Arabidopsis thaliana: one gene and its partners. The protein of the gene in region 1 interacts with the protein of each later gene in a pairwise test. Each region holds a gene or a part of one and is shown on either strand. Other genes may lie near its edges.

What was found.
Region 2: the proteins of AT1G15710 (region 1) and AT4G22720 interact in a two-hybrid assay, tested with the Arabidopsis thaliana proteins (one large-scale study listed by BioGRID).
Region 3: the proteins of AT1G15710 (region 1) and AT1G66430 interact in a two-hybrid assay, tested with the Arabidopsis thaliana proteins (one large-scale study listed by BioGRID).

The regions. Positions count from the first base shown.
Region 1 is NC_003070.9:5,400,250-5,408,467, reverse strand, and holds AT1G15710 (prephenate dehydrogenase family protein), read right to left. Parts: upstream 4,339-8,218; 5' UTR 3,964-4,338; coding exon 2,887-3,963; 3' UTR 2,558-2,886; downstream 1-2,557. Other genes in the region: AT1G15730 (Cobalamin biosynthesis CobW-like protein), read left to right, coding at 150-265, 352-437, 583-687, 796-933; TRFL5 (TRF-like 5), read right to left, coding at 1,158-2,330; ATPC2 (ATPase, F1 complex, gamma subunit protein), read left to right, coding at 4,679-5,839; AVP1 (Inorganic H pyrophosphatase family protein), read right to left, coding at 6,283-6,489, 6,571-6,630, 6,712-7,122, 7,253-7,583, 7,665-7,751, 7,852-8,218. UniProt on the Arabidopsis thaliana protein: Involved in the biosynthesis of tyrosine. Has a weak prephenate dehydrogenase activity.
Region 2 is NC_003075.7:11,935,340-11,941,484, forward strand, and holds AT4G22720 (Actin-like ATPase superfamily protein), read left to right. Parts: upstream 1-1,602; 5' UTR 1,603-1,804; intron 1,805-2,101; 5' UTR 2,102-2,127; coding exon 2,128-2,685; intron 2,686-2,770; coding exon 2,771-2,926; intron 2,927-3,030; coding exon 3,031-3,378; 3' UTR 3,379-3,630; downstream 3,631-6,145. Other genes in the region: CYP706A2 (cytochrome P450, family 706, subfamily A, polypeptide 2), read left to right, coding at 1-1,279; AT4G22730 (Leucine-rich repeat protein kinase family protein), read left to right, coding at 6,045-6,145.
Region 3 is NC_003070.9:24,776,567-24,783,257, forward strand, and holds AT1G66430 (pfkB-like carbohydrate kinase family protein), read left to right. Parts: upstream 1-1,690; 5' UTR 1,691-1,833; coding exon 1,834-1,984; intron 1,985-2,203; coding exon 2,204-2,406; intron 2,407-2,481; coding exon 2,482-2,694; intron 2,695-2,766; coding exon 2,767-2,964; intron 2,965-3,065; coding exon 3,066-3,203; intron 3,204-3,369; coding exon 3,370-3,486; intron 3,487-3,692; coding exon 3,693-3,827; 3' UTR 3,828-4,176; downstream 4,177-6,691. Other genes in the region: AT1G66420 (DNA-binding storekeeper protein-related transcriptional regulator), read left to right, coding at 618-1,466; AT1G66440 (Cysteine/Histidine-rich C1 domain family protein), read left to right, coding at 5,605-6,691. UniProt on the Arabidopsis thaliana protein: May play an important role in maintaining the flux of carbon towards starch formation.

The sequences.
Region 1 (8,218 bases):
TATTACGAGTCACTCCGAAAACTTCTGTCCAAAGTGAATTGTAGCTCCTTACATTTGTTATGGTTTATTGGTTGTGGATTTCCTGGTTTAAGAGGGCTGATTTTGTTACTCTGATTTATTGCTGGTGGCCAACTATTTTATCTTTCCAGAATTGAAAGCTCTGTGAATGAAGAAGAGAAAGAAGATCGCGAGGGTCATGATGATCATCACCATGGTCATGACTGCCATGATCACCACAATGAGCATGAGCATGAGCATGAACACGGTATGTTATAGTGTTACCAAATAATGGCCTTATTACTTAATAACGATCGCCTACATGCATTGATTAGTTTGCTTCTGAAACTGCAGAGCATCACCATTCTCATGATCACACCCATGACCCTGGTGTTGGTTCAGTCAGTATAGTTTGCGAAGGAGACTTAGACCTCGAGAAGGTATTAACCCAATATGGCTCAAGTTGTGTCACATGTGATGCATAAAACTGTAGCACCTGACGTGTTACTTATAATTAAAACGATTGTTGAGATGTGCGATTGATTACTTGCATCATCTATAACCTTAGTTTTGAAAATGGATCAGGCTAACATGTGGCTTGGGGCGCTATTGTACCAACGTAGTGAGGATATCTACAGAATGAAAGGTATCCTCTCCGTACAAGACATGGACGAGAGATTCGTGTTTCAGGTGACCAACCTTTGTCATTATTTTGATCATTTCGGATGAATTCTAAAGCATCGAAGCCTTGGGATGTAAATTATCTCTGACGTTTGTGGTTTATAATGGTTGGAACAGGGAGTTCATGAAATATTTGAAGGATCACCTGACCGGTTATGGAGAAAAGATGAAACAAGAACCAACAAGATTGTTTTCATCGGCAAGAATTTGAACCGGGAGGAGTTAGAGATGGGTTTCAGAGCTTGCTTGATTTGATTATAGGACCAAATATTTAAAATCATTCCATTTTGTAATCAACTGGTCAATAGATTTTTGAACAAGAAATATCGTCTAAAGCTTGACACTAACTACAAGAGCCTGAATCAAGAACATATTAAAGCCTTCACCGTACAAAAAGTGAGTCCCTTTCTAACACAAGCGGCAAAACTACACAAGATCCCAAAACCAAAATGCCCATAAGTTAGAAGGTAAGATTCCTACTACTGACGACCAAGTAAATTCCTCCACTTATCCTTCAAATCCACCTCGCTCCTATCAGCGAAAACAACAGGGTATGAATTCTTGATATCTTTCCATGATTTTCCATATTCTTTAACTCCTTCCCTCAAAGCTGCCACTTCTTCAGAAGTCCAGAATTTCATTGGCCTTCTGGGACGCGGTCTTTCTAATCTTCCTTTCTTCAACGGTGATACATTCAGAGGTTCCGGGGTTGGTAGATGAGGCCTGACTCTTCTAGACGATGATGTTCCCTCACTATCTTCTGCATCAGTCCTATTTGCCCCATCAGGCTGAGGAGTGACATCAACTGAATGCTCCATTGCATTGTTAGGTTCTTGATCTTGCCTTGTTATAGGGTCGATGAGTCTTTGAATCTCCAACAAAAAATCCTTAAGCTCTCGAGCTACCAACATTTCCCCCTTATTAAGACTTGGCTCGTGTTCCTGTTCATGTTCATTCACCTTACCAACCCCATCAGGATTCTCCACACCACCCACTTCTTCAACATCATTAGCTTTCTCTCTATTACCTCCTCTCCGGGAAGCATATGGTGAATCCTTACGCTTAAGAAACCTCTTTCGAGCTTCTGATTCAAGAGAAGAACATCCAAGTAGTGCCCACTGCTCTTTGAGAAGCTGATTAAGATGAGAGATGGCATTGTACCTGATGTTAGTCTCACGAATCTTCTGGTAAATCTCAGGTTCCTCAAACGCCTTGTTTAGATCACTCTCCCATTTCAACAACTCACGAGTCACCAAGTCGCTCTCTTTCTCCTTCAATGTCCCAATCCGATTCCTCCAAATCCTCTCAAGGGCATCACCGAAGAAGCCATCCGAAGCATTCACTGGCCACATAAACCTAAGCGTGCATTCCACAGCAGTCCAGCAATACGCAGATTTGAGAGATCCCATGATAACCGAATGTTCCTGTAACAGAAGCTTCTCAAGAATTTCGAGGAGATCAAGCATTCCTTCGTCTACGGTACCTTGAATCATGGAATTGGAGATATCCCGCAAAACAGCAGTTAGCTTGAGTTTTACACAGTCGTCGGAATCTACTGGTTTCAGAGCCGATAACAGTGGAAAAGCGTAAACCCTAGGATTTAGTTGGCGTCGGAGGAAAAATTCAGCTACCCATTTGTCCATCACTTCCATTTCCAAGACTTTGCAAGTAAAAGATGCGAAAACCCGCGATCAGTTTTCGCCGTCGGTGCGTGGTTAGGGTTACAATTTTGGGAAGAGGAAAAGCTCCGACCAACTATGGTGGCAACAACACACGTGTGAATCATTCAAATTTAAAATGTGTTTTTTTCTTTTAATTAAATAAGACGAGACATTCAAGCGGCCCATTATATAATCGGCCCATAACGAAACGATGTTGTCCTGATCCGAATCGGGTGGGTGACCCGAGATCATTGGAGACAGAGAAAAACAGTAATGACTTTTGAGCAATACAATGTTGATCCAATACAAATATGGCCGGAGAAGGAGACAATTTGTCCGTATTTGTTTCCGGCGACCAGAGGGATAAGCATTTCCACAGATACATTTAGAGAAAAAAAGACAAGTTTATTGATACCAAGCCAAAAGAGACCCCAACATACATATGAACACACCAAAATCCCTTTTTTATTTTCCACTCTTGACGTTTTCCAAAAAAGTCACAACTTTTTATTTTTGAATCTAGCATAATCCAATCAAACTTGTGATCTTAAGATGATGATGATGATGATGATGATGATGATGATATATCATTCATAGGAACAACACCACCATCATTGAGCAATTTCTGCTCAGTTTTCTTGGGCGATTGAACCTCCCCACCAAACATTTGCTTCCTGTATTGCTGATGTAATCTCCCAAACAGCTCCTTCTTAACAGACTCAAAAGCCATATCCAATCTCTCCAACTGTTCAAGAGCATTCGGATTATACATAAACAAACCGTAGAAAAGCTCAAAGCTATCACTCGATGTGTTCTCCACCAAATCCAACAACGTCTCATAACCTTTGGTGTTAATCGGCGAAGACTCAACTCCATATTTCTCCAAAACCCTTCCCATAGTATGCGTCACGAATTGCGATCCAGCTGCGTAATAATCATGCTTCTCACAGCTCATTTCAACCATCTTGCAACCTTCATTCTCAAAAATTCTTAGAAACTTCTCACACCTCTCTTGTCTTGAAGCTGCGTCTCCGATTCTCACCTTATCGTAGACAAAGGGCAAGCCAGACCAAGAATGCTTACCACTCTCAGGTCCAAACATTGGATGAGTACAGAGAATGTCAAACTCCTTAGGAAGGTATTTAATGAAGAGGGCTTTTGGGAATTCCTTAACGGAGAGAACATCGACGAAGAGTGTGCTACGACGGAGACGTTGGAAAGGGAATGATCTGAGGACTGATTCTGTGGAGAGGATTGAGGTACAGAGGAGGACAACGTCGGGATGTTGTTCACAGAGATCGTGAGGGTTATCGAAGAAACGAGCTCCGATTGAGTTTGCGGCGTCGGAGTAATCGGAGCGGGAGTGAGTGATTAGATCGTGGCCGTGTCGAATTAGGGTTTTGGAGAGGAATTGGCCGAAATTGCCGAAACCCAAGACGGCGATTTTGAGAGCAGAGGATTTGCGGTACTCGGATTTGAGTTGGGTTTCGTAATCGAAGATTTGGGCGGCGTCGATTGCTCGAATTCGAAGAGATCGCGGCGGGGAAATGAGGAATGTGGGTGAATTGCGGCGGAGATTGGGTGGAGAAATGAGGGGTTTCGCCGGAGAGAAATGGAGTAGCATTGTGAGTAGTGTTGATTGAGTTTTAGCTCCAAAGTTGGGAGCTTAGAGAAATCTGTGAGAATAGAAGAGGAAGAAGCGGTTGCGCCAAAGGAGGAAGAAGATGCGAGCGAGCCTCAAAAATAAACGGATCAATTTTATGTCGTGGCCTAAACGTGGTGATGCTGATTGACCCAAGAAAAACAAAATGCTAAATACACAACAACACAAGGACCATAATGGAAATAAAAAATTGAGGTCAAAATTAAAAGTCGTTCCAAGGAAATTTGTAGGTACTGTTTTGTATTCATTTGTATTTAGTAACCCGCATTTACAATATTTCTTTTTCTGAAGGACTAGAGTTTTTATTTGTCCATAATTTTATTTTGATTTGTTACTTTAAAGTTCAATCTCTTCCTATATATGAATCTTTAAAAAGAAAATTTCGTAATTTTCATATGCTGACTATAGTTGTTGTTTTTTGGTTTTCTATTAATTTGGCTATTTGTAGTAATTTTTATTAGGATTTAGGAGGGTTATTGATATTTCCCTCGTTTTTCTCATAGAAAAAAAAAAACAAAAACTCTAATTTTGACTTTTGTAGTAATTTTTATATACTGACCCCTAATAAACATGATAATTACAGAAAACCCCTCAAGTTCTCTTTCTTTGCTCATTTCTTCACGAGAAGATGAAATCTTAAACCTCTCAAGTTCAGGGTCTTCTTTCCCAAACGAAAATGACAGGTTCGATCTCGACCTCTTGGCTCTTGTCGTCTCCTTCGAATTCGAATTCGGCTTCGAGCTCAGAGTCCTACTCTTTCATAGCTACCTTGAAACCAGTTCGTTATTATCCGTTTCAATCACTGACACCAAACCGGATTTCGTCGAGATCTCCGTTGCCCTCAATTCAAATTCGAGCTGGAATCCGAGAGTTACGAGAACGAATCGACAGTGTGAAGAATACCCAGAAGATAACGGAAGCGATGAGACTCGTGGCGGCAGCTAGAGTTCGTCGAGCTCAAGATGCAGTCATAAAGGGTAGACCTTTCACTGAAACTCTTGTGGAGATTCTCTACTCAATTAACCAATCTGCTCAATTAGAAGACATTGATTTTCCTCTGAGCATTGTTAGACCCGTGAAGAGAGTTGCTTTGGTTGTTGTTACTGGCGATAAAGGATTGTGTGGTGGTTTCAACAATGCAGTGACCAAGAAAGCTACTCTGCGAGTTCAAGAGTTGAAGCAGAGAGGAATAGACTGTGTTGTGATAAGTGTAGGTAAGAAAGGGAATGCTTATTTTAGTCGGAGAGATGAATTTGATGTTGATAAATGTATTGAAGGAGGAGGTGTTTTCCCAACGACTAAAGAAGCTCAAGTTATTGCAGATGATGTGTTTTCCTTGTTTGTCAGTGAAGAGGTTGATAAAGTTGAGCTTGTTTACACAAAGTTTGTGTCTTTGGTGAAATCTGATCCTGTGATCCACACTCTGTTGCCTTTGTCGATGAAAGGAGAGTCTTGTGATGTGAAAGGTGAGTGTGTTGATGCTATCGAGGATGAGATGTTTAGGCTAACGAGCAAAGATGGGAAGTTAGCTGTGGAAAGGACCAAGCTTGAAGTTGAGAAGCCTGAGATCTCACCGTTGATGCAGTTTGAGCAAGACCCTGTTCAGATTCTTGATGCAATGATGCCTTTGTATCTCAACAGTCAGATTCTAAGAGCACTGCAGGAATCTTTAGCGAGTGAGCTTGCGTCGAGGATGAATGCGATGAGTAATGCGACTGATAATGCGGTTGAATTGAAGAAGAATCTGACGATGGCTTATAACCGAGCGAGACAGGCTAAGATCACTGGGGAGTTGCTGGAGATTGTGGCTGGAGCAGAAGCTCTTCGAGAGTCTTAGGTAGAAACTACAGCTGTGTAAAATCATTTGTTGTTTGTGGTAATAAATGTCATGAAAGAATTTACAGATCATGAGAAATTGAGAATCGTTTACACCTAACGCCGACAAAAGACTAACAGTAACAATAAATTCCAATTATGTCTCGAAGAAGACAACCAATTTAGGAAATATAAGCAGCAGAAAGTAACGGCTAAAACAAGTCTCGACCGAATACTTGGTGGATTTCTAAATTCTAAACAGAACAAAAAGAAAACAGAAAGACAGAGAGTGAGAGAAAGAAACATCATTTGGTTGGTTCTTTAAATGAGCCTCATCAACAAAAAAGGTTTTTTAACCACCTACGGTAAACGAAAATAAGAATGGTAAAAAAGAAAGTTTAGAATCGATCGCCATCATCATCTTCTTCTTCTTCATCATCGTCATCTTCTTCCCTCGGATTGAGTTTAGAAGTACTTGAAAAGGATACCACCGTGAGTGGCGAAGAAGGGAGCAAAGACAAGAGACTCAACAGCCATGAGCTTGATGAGGATGTTCAATGAAGGTCCTGAAGTATCCTTCAATGGGTCTCCAATTGTGTCTCCAATCACAGCTGCCTTGTGTGGCTCTGAACCCTTTGGTCCAAGGCTCTTTGCGTGCTCTGATACACCAGCCTGCGAATATATAACAATGCTTAAGGATTTGACTTCATATTTTCAAATGGTTTGATTTAAGCTACAAGAAAATTCCATTACCTCGATGTATTTCTTGGCGTTGTCCCAGGCACCACCAGTGTTAGATGCTGATATGGCGATCTGAATAGAATAAACAGAGAGCATCGATGAGCATTTTTTTTAAGAATAGTTATTCACAATTGAATTGAGAATATACTTTACCTGAACACCGGATACAAGAGATCCGGCGAGGACACCAGAGAGGGTCTCAACTCCAAAGAAGAAACCAACAATGAGAGGTGTGAGCATGACAAGGCAACCAGGAGGTATCATTTCCTTGATGGAAGCATCGGTGGAGATCTTGACACATGTGGCGTAGTCTGGTTTTGCGGTTCCTTCCATAAGTCCAGGGATGGTGTTGAACTGCCTGCGAACTTCTTCAACCATCTTAAGAGCTGCACTTCCCACACTCTTCATTGTCATGGCAGAGAACCAGTAAGGAAGCATGGCACCAACAAGGAGCCCAATGATAACTTTAGGGGTCAAAACATCTACGGTGTGGATCCCTGCACGGCTCACAAAGGCACCAAAGAGAGCCAAGGAGACTAGGGCAGCAGAGCCAATGGCAAATCCCTGTACACAACAAACCAGAATAACATGTCAAAATACAACACAAGCAAAGGCAACCTGAGGAATGGTTCAAGCAAGCAAGCTCTTTTATTAATTCATCGGATTGCAGAAAGAGGTTAAGAAGGCTCCATACCTTTCCAATAGCAGCAGTGGTGTTTCCAGCGGCATCAAGAGCATCAGTTCTTTCACGGATGCGGTGGCTCATTCCAGCCATTTCAGCAATACCACCAGCATTGTCACTGATGGGACCATAAGCATCAATTGCCAAACCAGTGGCAATGGTACTGAGCATACCAAGAGCAGCAACAGCAACACCATACATAGCAGCAAAGCTGAAGCTAACGAATATACTGATAGCAATAGCAAAGATTGGAATAATGACGGATTTGTAACCAAGAGCAAGGCCGAAGATAACATTGGTAGCTGCACCAGTTCTGCATGAATCTGCAACATCTTGCACAGGGCTGCAAGAATAGGAGGACATAAGAGTTAGCTCTACTAGCTGGGAAAAGTTAGTGACTAAATACAGCTAAAATGAGTCTTACCTGTAGGCGTTACTAGTGTAGTACTCAGTGACGAAACCAATAATGAGTCCAGCCCAAAGACCAACACAAACACAAAGGAATAGCTGCCTGAAATCCAAAATAATGCAAGACTTAAAAAAGTGCAACGAGAAATTTGAATAGAGAAATGCAGGAAAAAAACAAAAGCAATCATCCACAAGGAAATTACCAGTTCTTGACAACTTTTTGTGTTCCAAAGTTGAAGATGGTAAAGGAGGTCGGTAAGCCAACCCATGACACAATAGCAATACCAACAGTCATAATAACAGTTGAGATAATGAGCTGGTTCTTCAATGCTGGTTCAATCTCCTTGACAAGCTTAATCTCAAAGAAGTCAGTGGCAAAGAGAGTTGTGATCAAACAAACCAAGATTCCCATTGAACTGATGAGCAATGGGTAGCACATGGCAGTGAAGTCGTGGTTGATTCCGAAAGATGAGATCGAGGCAACAACAAGAGCAGCGCATGATGCTTCAGCATATGATCCAAAGAGATCAGATCCCATACCAGCAATGTCACCAACATTGTCACCGACAT
Region 2 (6,145 bases), on another chromosome or scaffold:
CTCTTCCCCTGACATGGCTCGCGAGGTTCTCAAAACCCACGACATCACTTTCGCCAACCACGATCTCCCTGAAGTCGGAAAGATCAACACTTACGGTGGTGAAGACATCCTCTGGTCTCCTTACGGTACCCATTGGAGGAGACTTCGTAAGCTCTGCGTCATGAAGATGTTCACTACCCCAAGTCTCGAAGCTTCCTACTCCACTCGCCGGGAAGAAACCCGACAAACCATTGTCCACATGTCGGAAATGGCTCGTGAAGGATCACCAGTCAACCTCGGAGAGCAAATATTTCTTTCCATTTTCAACGTCGTGACAAGAATGATGTGGGGCGCCACTGTTGAAGGAGACGAGAGAACGAGCTTAGGAAACGAGCTCAAAACCCTAATATCTGATATCTCCGACATAGAAGGGATTCAAAACTACTCAGATTTCTTTCCGTTGTTCTCAAGATTCGATTTCCAAGGATTGGTTAAGCAGATGAAAGGCCATGTGAAGAAGCTTGATCTCTTGTTCGATAGAGTTATGGAGAGTCACGTCAAAATGGTGGGAAAGAAGAGCGAAGAAGAAGAAGATTTCTTGCAATACTTACTTAGAGTTAAAGATGATGATGAGAAAGCTCCTCTGTCCATGACTCATGTCAAGTCTCTCCTCATGGATATGGTTCTTGGTGGTGTCGACACATCGGTTAACGCATCCGAATTCGCCATGGCAGAGATTGTGAGCAGACCGGAAGTGTTAAACAAGATCCGACTAGAACTTGACCAAGTTGTTGGCAAAGACAACATCGTTGAGGAATCACATTTACCTAAGCTTCCTTACCTACAAGCGGTTATGAAAGAGACTCTTAGGCTTCACCCTACGCTTCCTCTTCTTGTTCCTCACAGAAACAGCGAAACCTCGGTGGTTGCGGGATACACTGTGCCTAAAGACTCCAAGATTTTCATCAACGTTTGGGCGATTCATAGAGATCCTAAGAATTGGGATGAACCAAACGAGTTCAAACCTGAGAGGTTTTTGGAGAATTCGCTTGATTTCAATGGAGGTGATTTTAAGTATTTGCCTTTTGGGTCAGGAAGGAGGATTTGTGCGGCGATAAACATGGCTGAGAGACTTGTTCTGTTCAACATTGCTTCACTTCTTCACTCTTTTGATTGGAAAGCTCCTCAAGGACAGAAGTTTGAGGTTGAAGAGAAGTTTGGTCTTGTTCTTAAGTTGAAGTCTCCACTTGTGGCTATTCCTGTTCCAAGGTTGTCCGATCCAAAACTCTACACAGCTTAAGTAAGAAGGATGTTGAATTGAGTTTTCTTGTTTAAAGTTTACTTTTCTTTATCTGTGTCTGGAGTTTTGATGCTTTGTATAAAAGATGTGTCAAGTTACATTTTTGATAACATTTAATATAACAAAGTTTTACTTACAATAATAACGCCTAATAGTCGATGCCAAAGCTATAAAACTATATTGTAGTTATATTTTTGGCAAGTCGATTAAAATTCTTGGGTCAACAAATTACAAATTAGTATGAAGGTTACAAATTAAAATTGTAATTATTTAAATTAATTAATGTATAATTATATCACAAATACTTCACGTCACACTAAATGAGTCCTTCTTAGCGGCAAAATATGCGTTATTGGGCTAGGCCCATTTATAAACGACGCCGTTTACACAGTCTAGAAACTCAACATCGTCGTTTCTCTCCCGGCGACTTTATCGCCGTCTTTTTCTTCTTTAAACTCTCTGGCTAATTTCGTTTTGCTTTGAGCTTGTGAGCTACTTCTGATTCCGGCCATCACGCAGCTTCAGGTTAGTTTTTGATTTAAATCAAACAACAGTACATGGGTTCAGTGTGTTGTGTCTCGAATGGAATTGGTTTCTGTGTTTAGATTAGGGTTTAGGGCTCTTTCATCTAAGGAAACGAAACCTAGGTTATACGAATCTCTTTGTTGGGTCTCTCTCAATACCAATACCAATCAACGAAAGGATTAATTTTGTTCATCATCTTCAACGTCTAAGGCTATAATTTGTGTTAGTTCAAATTGATTCAGAATAAAGTTTGGATTTTTACTTCACCTAGTCCTGAATTTGTTGTTCTCTGTGTAGAAAGTTTCTGTTTTTAAATCAAAGAAATGAAGAAGAAGATGATAGCCATTGGTTTCGAAGGATCAGCTAACAAGATTGGAGTTGGAATTGTGACTTTAGACGGTACTATCTTAGCAAATCCTCGGCATACGTATATAACACCACCTGGTCATGGTTTTCTTCCTAGAGAGACTGCACATCACCATCTTGACCATGTTCTTCCTTTAGTCAAATCAGCTTTAGAGACTTCTCAAGTTACTCCTGAAGAAATCGACTGTATTTGTTATACGAAAGGTCCCGGGATGGGAGCGCCGTTGCAGGTTTCAGCCATTGTTGTTAGAGTATTGTCACAGCTTTGGAAAAAGCCAATTGTTGCTGTGAATCATTGTGTGGCTCACATTGAGATGGGGAGAGTAGTTACTGGAGCTGATGATCCTGTTGTGTTGTATGTGAGTGGTGGTAACACTCAGGTGATTGCTTATAGTGAAGGTAGGTACCGGATTTTTGGTGAGACTATTGATATTGCTGTTGGTAATTGTTTGGATCGGTTTGCTAGAGTCTTGAAGCTTTCTAATGATCCAAGCCCTGGTTATAACATTGAACAGGTAGATTTCATTTGAAAGTAAAGTAAATTTGAATTCTTGAAAGATTCAAGAACAATGTTAACACGGTTTTTGGTGTTGTTACTAGCTTGCTAAGAAAGGAGAAAACTTTATTGATCTTCCGTATGCTGTTAAAGGTATGGATGTATCGTTCAGCGGAATCTTGAGTTATATCGAAACTACTGCAGAGGAGAAGCTCAAGAATAACGAGTGTACACCAGCAGACTTGTGTTATTCCCTTCAAGTAAGGCTATCACTTGGTTCTTAACTGATGAATTTTGTCACATGAATGCAAATTTTGGACTGTTTAAGAGTAATATCATGAATTCATGTTTGTTGATCTTGCAGGAGACGGTGTTTGCGATGTTGGTTGAGATCACAGAAAGAGCGATGGCGCATTGTGACAAGAAAGACGTTTTGATAGTTGGCGGTGTTGGGTGTAACGAGCGTTTGCAGGAAATGATGAGGACTATGTGCTCAGAACGTGATGGTAAGCTGTTTGCAACAGATGACCGTTACTGCATCGATAATGGAGCTATGATCGCTTACACAGGTCTACTCGCGTTTGTTAATGGTATTGAAACACCGATCGAAGACTCTACCTTTACACAACGATTTCGCACAGACGAGGTTCATGCGGTGTGGCGAGAGAAAGAAGCTGTACTACTTGGGGATAAGAAAGTTGCAGCGAATTGAGTCTGTCCCCATTTTTGTTCATTTTTCATCAAATTTGAGATTGAATCTCTCTCTACTCGATAAATTGGTTTTTGCTAAGTAGTTAAGACTTTTAAATGTGTTTTATTAGCCAAATTATATGATTGATATCTTTTGGTTTGAATGTAATAACACTTTCAAATTTCAAAGTGAGCTTTGTAAAAAGTTCAAATGTTTCTTGTGTTGCATTTCGCTATTTGTTTTATTGCTTTAATAAAAATATGATATCTCAAAGTCGACATTTCTACCGAGAATGGTGGAGAGATTAGTGCATTAGTCTTCCTTAATCATACAAAAACAACTGTGAAAATACAGCACTACTAAAAAGTAAAAAGTAAGAACTTTTTAATGTAGAACGTATGAGATGGTTCAATTAATCACAAGACACTTCTATGGCATTGCGTATTAAACGAAAAGTGAGTAAATAGAATTTATACATAATGATCTAATCTTGATCTTGCTAATAAAAATTGTAAAGGCAACAACAAGTTGTCAAAAATTTCAATTTGACGTAGAGATAAATTCTATCTAATAATTTTGTAAAAACATTCGAGATATAGTGTATCATTTTTCCATCATCTAGAACTCATTTGCGTATTTTCAAGTGTAAATCAGAACCTTGACACATAGGCTACACAAATTTTGGTCGATATTTATATTACTTTTGTAGCATAATGTGGATATCCTTCTAGAGACTAGAGTTCTAGATAAAACATTCATACATGTAACTATGTAAGTAAGCATGCATACTAAATATAAAATTTTCAAAAGTTTTAAAAGACATCATATAGATTCAAAAAGACGTGGGAAAAAGGAGAAAATGACAAAAGTTATTAGTAAAACAATCAAGTAAAAGGTCAAAGTAGTTAACGAAAAGATAAAAGTATTTCAAAAGTCTTCCTTCCATCTTGAAATGCCAAAAAATAAAAGACGAATGATTGAAGATAAATCAAAGTTGTCTGATTGCTATTGTATACATCTTTTTTTTTGTTAAAACTATTGTATACATCTAAAAAACCTTGAAGTAATCAAGATCTGAATTATAGCCGTTGATAAGGTTTTATGCTTTCACATTGAACTCGATCGTCGTCGTCAAATCTACTAGTCTCGTTTTTTAGTTTTAACGTGCTTAATTACTTCACTAATTTGTTTTTTGTTATCATTTTCACCAATTTTATTCATTGTGTGAATTAAGTTTTGTCCACATAGTAAGATTCATCAGTATAATAGGACATATGATAAAAGTTTGTATATAATCAAAGAGTATATCTAAGAATATCTAATTAAGATGAATGTTTCAGTCCACATTGGATTCTGCTTATAGTCAAACTGTCTTGTTCTTAAACCCAATTAGGTTAGAATACATGTACCAACAAATAGCATTTCTATAACTAATCTTTTATCAATTTACTTTATAGCCTACAAATAATTAGAGGAAAAGAAAAGAGAGTTAGTGGAATAATTGTCCTCTAAATCTCGATATCATCATTAACTAAATACTATATTTAGACCATATATACTATATTTTATAGTATACTATATTTTATAGTATATATAATCAACTAATCATATTAGACCACTATTAGAAATATGGATCTAAAAAAAACATTCTTTAATCAGTACTATTCTCATCCAAAGACTTGTTTTAAGAGACTAAATATGAATATGTGTATGTGTATGTGTATGCAGGAGTAGACACGTGCACGTGGCACATGCAGGGAATGGGAAGGTGGAGTGTTGACAAAGAAGAAGAGGATGATCCAAGTTTCGAAATGATTCCAAAAGTTATGAACTATAAGCCAAAGTGCTCAATCGCCAAACATGAACTTAAATAAACTTCACTCGTTAGATCGTTTTCTCACATTAAAGCCGCTCTACACTTTTACCCATTTTACCATTTATAATAACCACCACACATAGATATTAAGTTCTATGGATTTTATTCGTAAACTTAAGTTATGATCAAATAGCTAAATGATTTTGCGATTTGCCCGAGTTCTGTTTGTTTCTAAAATGGTTATCCAAAAAGCATATTTTTGTTTTATATAGAATTTGTGATATAGAAGAAATATACTAAAAATGTTTTAAAGTCTGTCTAAATCATAAACCAATGCAAAGAAAGTGAAATAAACCAAGATCTCGAGCAATAGACATAATAAATAAACAAACACCTAATAACATCACATCCCCACTAACAAATGTGAACATTAACTGTTAAAAATCACCAAAAAAGTCATCAAGATTTGGCTTTCCTTTTCAAAAGCAGTATACGTCTCTGTCTCACACAGACAGTGTATTCAATGCGTTGTGTTGTCTTCCCACTTTTCACCAGCTGAGGTTCTGCTTCTTTCTCTTCTTCTCTCCAAAACAAGAAAATTCTGCAGAATAACTTTTCATTCACGAGAGTGGAAGGTTACAGTTTTCCAAATCCGAGAAACAGACACAAAATTGGTCCCTCTCTAAAAGTTACTATCTTCGTTTAACAAAGAGATAGCTCCCAATCCAGTACAAAACAGAGTACTCTGCTCTATAAATTTCGTTCCTTTATTACTCTGCTCTATAAAACAGATTATTCTGCTCTATAAGAGAGATAGATAAATGAGCTAAAGCTCAGTAATTTCTAAACAGAGAGACAAGAAAATTCAAGAATGGTTACCTTATGTGCCACGTTACTGATCCTTCTCTCAATCTTTCTTGCAACTCCGTCGAATGTTCGAGGAAATGCAGAGCTGAAGGCTTTAATGGAGCT
Region 3 (6,691 bases), about 19 Mb from region 1:
CATCTTTTGTAATGGCATGTTTTCCATCAATGTGTGTGAACATTGAAAACATAAACTGTTGAATATCTAAGGTCATCTCCATTGGTAAGAAACCTTCAAAGTTTCTCAAAAAAAAAAATTACTAATATTTTATTATGACTTAATTTTGTAATTAATATATTCTTTTCTTTTTTTCAGTTGTCTAATTACTTCAAAATTTCTCTGCACAGAAACGTTTCTGTAATTATGTTATTCTCTCTCCTCCTTTATGAATTGTTTATATTATATTAGTGAAAAGCAACTCTCAAAATTGTAACCGATGGAGATGATCTAACCTATTTACCAAAAACAATTCAGACAAAATTTATTTTCGGTTTAGTCGTTTTTTTTCGTTTTCTTAATTTCAAAATAATTTACTGGGAAAAGAAAAAATCATCATTACGCTCATGTGAAAAAAGATCGTTCATTGTATGGGTTTTGGAAGTTAGAAAAGTAAGCAAGCAACTTATACCCTATTGGCCATTATATCTACCGAGAAACAACAAGCTCTTTAATTTATAAATTCGTGTAGTTGCCTTAAACAAACCCCAAGCTTTCATTACACACCACAACCAAAATCGTAGTTTGAAGATTCTGATATGTCAAAGAAGCATCTCAAGCCGTTGGAGACATGTTTTGAAGATGAAGAAGATGATGTTATTTATCTTCCTCCAGGTCTTGTGACCGGTGCAACTTCCAAGAAGAATGAGGAGTTTTGTGGCGGCTCCGGCAAGGTACAACCGTCTGAGATGAAGCGTCGGAGTGAAGGGACCTCAACGGACATGACTTCGAAGAGAGCCAAGAAGGTTTCAGCAGAAGATGAGAAGAAAGTTGGAGAATGGACAAAAAACCCATATTTTCAAAGACTGTGGAGTGAGGAAGATGAGATTGTTATGCTACAAGGAATTATTAAATTTGAAGATGTTACAGGGAAAAGTCCGTTTGAGGATAGACACGGGTTTATAGAATTCGTCAAGAACTCCATTAGCTTCGAGGCTAGTGTGCAACAATACATTGGCAAGATTAGCCAATTGAAGAGGAAATATACGAGGAAAAGGAAGAACGGTTTTTCTGAAGGTCATGAACAGAAATGTTTCAAACTGGCCATGTCTATTTGGGGAACTAAAGAAACGTCTAAGAAGACGGACTTGTGCTCTTCACCTAAAGGTAAAAAAGTTAAAGAAGAAGATGGAGATGTGACAAACTCTGATTGGTTTGAGAATTCGTTTCTACTTCCATCAATTGAGAGTCTTGGTGTGGATTCGGTTAAACGTAAATGGAATGTTGTGCCTATGGAGTTTAAGAAGAAAATTGAAGAGAGGTTGGAGTTGTTGGAGGCTGATGAAAGTGAATGCAAGAAAATGGAAGAGATGTTGAAGGTTAAAAATAGCGAATGCGTGAAACAAAAGACTAACCTTTTGAATGAGGTGATCGATGTGATGACTTGAGATTTTAGATATGAAGTTTAATGTTTTCTAGTGGTTTATCTTATGACTCTTTTATGTTGGATTATTTCTTTATATATCTTAGCATAAAAAAAGTTCATTTTGGTAGAAAACAGAGAAAAAAGGATTAATTAGTAATTACGCAATCTAATCAAATTTTAAAACTTGTGATTATGTTAATAGCGCTATAATTAAAAACTCTGATCCGTTTAAAATGAAAATGACTTTTCAGATTTCCTTTGGTTGCTCCGCTACTTCTCACTGTCGCTCTCTCAGCTTCCTCTCTCACAATCATAAAATAAAAAACAAAAAGTAGCTTCTCCAAGACGCGGTTCCCAATATCTGCGTTTCCCGTTTGCGTTTTCCGGCAATGGCTCTCCAAGCCACTACTACTACGTTCTGCTTCTCCGGTCCAACTTTCCGATCAACTCCTCACTCACTCACTTCAAAACGTCCTATCTCCATCAAAGCTACTACTTCTTCTCCTTCAAGACTCTCCAATTCACGATCTAATCTCAAAGGTTAAATCTCAAATAATTTCTCCATCACATTTTGGTTTTCTTTACCATAAATTCTCATAAAATGTTGAAATTGCAGAATATGCTTGGTTTATGCATTAATCTTATAGAATTTGTATTTTTGTATATTATATAGTCTTTGTACATGAAATTGTATATAGTTGTTGAGAAAGAGAATTTTGCTTTGTACTGATTCATACAATTTGTGTTCTGTTTTTAAAGGAAGAGCATTGTCTAGTGATGGTTCAACACAAGAATCTCCTTATGTAGTCTGTTTTGGAGAAATGCTAATCGATTTTGTACCGACGACAAGCGGACTTTCATTAGCCGATGCACCGGCTTTTAAAAAAGCTCCAGGTGGTGCACCTGCTAATGTAGCTGTTGGTATTGCTCGTCTTGGTGGTTCTTCAGCTTTCATTGGAAAGGTGAATGGCAAAAACTTGGTCTTCTTGTTTTTTAGATTGTAACATTTTGAAACTTTGATTCTATGGTGTGTATAGGTTGGTGAAGATGAGTTTGGTTATATGCTTGCGAATATTTTGAAAGATAATAATGTGAACAATGATGGTATGAGGTTTGATCCAGGAGCAAGAACTGCTTTAGCTTTTGTGACTTTGACTAATGAAGGTGAAAGAGAGTTTATGTTTTACCGAAACCCGAGTGCTGATATGTTGTTAGAGGAGTCTGAGCTTGATTTTGATTTGATCAAAAAGGTAAGCTTTGAAGTTTTATACACTGCAAAACATGTAGCAACCACTTCAAAATGTTAACCGATCTTTTGTCAGGCAAAGATATTTCATTACGGTTCGATAAGTCTTATCACCGAACCGTGCAAGTCTGCGCATATTTCTGCAGCTAAGGCGGCTAAGGAGGCTGGTGTTATACTCTCTTATGACCCTAACCTTAGGCTTCCGTTGTGGCCTTCTGCAGACAATGCTAGGGAAGAGATTCTGAGCATTTGGGAGACTGCTGATATTATAAAGGTTTATTTTTTCTATATATGTATGGTTACATTTGCGTATATTATCTTTCACTTTTGTTCTTGACCTGAAACTTGTTGTCTCTGTTTGATAAAATGTTCAAGATAAGTGAAGAGGAGATTGTCTTTCTAACGAAAGGAGAAGATCCGTATGATGATAATGTTGTACGCAAGTTGTTTCATCCTAAGCTGAAACTTCTCCTTGTCACTGAAGGTCCTGAAGGCTGTCGGTACTACACCAAGGTGTGAAAAGTTCCTCTCTACCTTTTGGTTTTGATACACTTGTCCAACTTAAAGCGGATTATGATGAGAACTACGTATCCTTTCTCTTCTTACTCAAGGTTTAACGGCGGTTTTTTTTACCGCAATGTGAGGTCATAATACTTAAAAACTTTGTTCCACTTTACAGGATTTTAGTGGGAGAGTGCATGGATTGAAGGTGGATGTAGTGGACACAACAGGTGCTGGTGATGCATTTGTTGCGGGGATACTATCGCAACTAGCCAATGATCTCTCCTTGCTTCAGGTAACCTTTCATTTGTCATTTTAAACTCGATGTAGGCATGTAGCAGTTTATAGCTATGGTGAGTTTGGTGAGAAAGCAGTTAGTGAGGGCTAGGTTTATAAGGCTTTCTCGGCAGATCGTAGTATAGCAGTTTCTTAGCTTTGTTCTTATCATATGTTCATGACAACAAAAGCATATAGCTGAAAAAACTGAGTTGTTTGACTCAGGACGAAGAGCGACTGAGAGAGGCTCTTATGTTTGCGAATGCATGCGGGGCATTAACCGTTAAAGTGAGAGGCGCAATCCCGGCCCTTCCAACCAAAGAAGCTGTACATGAGGCTCTACTCAAAGCCGTCGTTTAACATTCAATAACATCACCAATATGAGAAACAGTTTGTACGCCAGCAGATTTCGCAAGTCTGCATTTTGTTGTTGTAAAATTGTTGTATAATGTACTTACCAATGTTTGTATTCTAGTAGCTGTAGAGCTTTAAGCCTTTGAATATATTGTTGAGCCAAGAACTAGAATCCATCTTTTGATCTTTGTAACTCTCAGTTTGAATTAGAGAGATCTTGAAAAAATGAAGAACTATAGCCTAAGTGTATTGTTAGGAGAAACAAATAGAAGATGCAAACAAATGAACAATATCTCCTGGATTATGAATGGTACTGATTTAGTCCAATGCCATTTAATATGTTTGGTTAAACTAAACTTTCAATGATTTGGTAATGTCAAACAGAGAAATCTATGGTCAGAGTATTCAAACTTAAGTAACTCTTCATGTCATATTAATTATAGAAGTATCCCATCCTAATGCACAAAACCACGTTGTTATTGACGAATTTGAAATGTATGCTTGATTTTCTAGTCTCCGGTAACTTCATTTTTCTAAAGTACAACGAATAGGAGCATTTTCTATAAGTACAACTCAAAACTGGCCAAAGGGAATCGAAGAAGAGGAAAGGCAATAATGAAGAAAACACAATTAGCTTCTCTTCTAAGTTTGCTTCTTATTTGATTAACACCAGAGATCGACATAAAAGTTAAACTTTGATATGCAACAATTAGTAGTAATTTTTAAACTTGTCTTAGGAAAGTACTTACTGGACTCGGCCCACTTTGATATTTCATTTTTGAACTCGAACGGGCATCCGAATGCGCAGACCTAATCTTTTCGGTAAACATGACTATTTTGCGAATCTCAGCAAAGTTGTTACTAAAAGCTTATTTTATTTTTGTTGTTACACCACGGCATCAAAAGTCAAAGCTGATTTTTCAATGGATTCGTTTTGTTTGTGAAGAAAATATGCAAGTTGCATAGGTCGACCCCTCATAAACATAATTCTAAGCTCAAATTATTCATTTGTAAAATCATATTATATATGTAAATATGATTTGTTAGTGCTAATCGATCATTGTCTTTGCGTTTGGACGAAGTCGACATGTCCTTTGTAATATTGTATTGCTTTAGTTATTTTCAACTATACATATAATAAGTGACGATCCGCAAGTTATGGGGTGTAATACAGAAACCAAAGGTAAAATTATAATGAAAGGGGTAGTGGCTTAGTGGTAGTAGAAGAGAGTTGATTTTCTTGTGATATCCCCGGGTATACAGAGGAAGATTCTGGCCTAAACCCGCGATTTAACCAACAAAAAAAAGAAGGTAGAAATATTTATGGGAACAAAAACATACATATGTGAAGAAAACTATAGGTTTAATGTTCACTAGTCCATCGAACATGGTTTGGCCTAAATAAAATAGATCATTCGATAGTTTTGCGTTAGAAGAAAATGTGAAAGTCCCATAGGCCGACCTTTGCCCCATCAACTAAATCATGAGGCTACTTTTTAATGTGAAGAAACTCGAATGCTAATTGTAATATTTTAGACTTTTAGTACTGTATATGAGTGTATGATCTATATTTTGCCTAGAGTTCCGTTGAGACATCGAATATCTAAATATAATTATTACATACTTTGTTTTCGGACAGCCGGTGTATGCTTGTCTTTGTTTAAATTATTGGCACATACATTATTTTATTATTGGTGTATAGAAGAGTACCAAGTTTTTGATACTCGATATTCAAAATCTCTCATACCATTCATCATTATTCAAAATCTCTAGTAAAAAAAAAATGGATTCGGAGTCGGAGCTCATATCGATCATTTCTCAAATCTTAGCTCTCACTAGATCTCACGTTGAGGAGGAGGAGGAGGCTGAGGCAGAGTCAAAGTTCTTATTATTCATTACTCGAATAATTTCTATAGTTAGCTCTCTTAACTTGAATGTGCAGCCAGAGCCCGGGGTCATATCGCTCATTTCTCAAATGATCTCGCTAAGCAGCTCTATATCAGACTCCAAGCCGGAGTTGGAGCTCATATCACTTGTGAATCATATGATCTCTCTCGTCAACTCTATAGATTCGGAACCGGAGCCGGATCCAGACCTCATGTCACTCATTACTCAAATATTCTCTCATCTCGACTTTATGGATTCAGATTTGGAGCTCAAGTCACTCTTTACTCAAATAGTCTCTCTCGTTAGTTCTATGGAGTCTGATTCAGAGCCGGAGCCGGAACGGGAGACGAAGCAGCCAATATGCTTGGCCCCTCAATTTAAACTAGAATTATCAAACGGGAAAAATCTTGTGACGGGATTTGTCAAGCGTGATGGTAGAAAATATGACCCCGAGTACTGTAACCCCGAGTACTGGAGGGTACTAAGGTTAACAACAGGCGAAATTTCTCATTTTCTCTGCCCAAGTTGCGAAGGTGATAATCATGAAGAATATGAGAAGGCTCCACTTGAGGTCAAACACCCTCTTCATCCAAAACATTCTCTTCAGCTTATCTTGGAAAACTCGTGGGGATGTCGAAAAAAGAAATGCTATTGTTGTGATGAAATACTCCTATGGATATTTTATTACTGTTGGGTTTGCGATTGTGGTATGAACATAGCTTGTGTGGAGAAACTACCGCTCTTATCAATACACCATCCGAAGTGGCATGAACATACACTTTCTCTGTTTCCAATACTCATATCCTTAACTTGCAACGTATGTGCCTTGGACCATTTCAACTGTCCTTTCTATATATGTTCCCCATGTGACTTTGTGGTTCATCAAAGTTGTATCACCTTACCACGTGTTATAAGGATATCTCGCCATCTCCACCGTATTTCCTTTACCCCTTCATTTGAACAAGGAGATTGGTCTTGTGGTG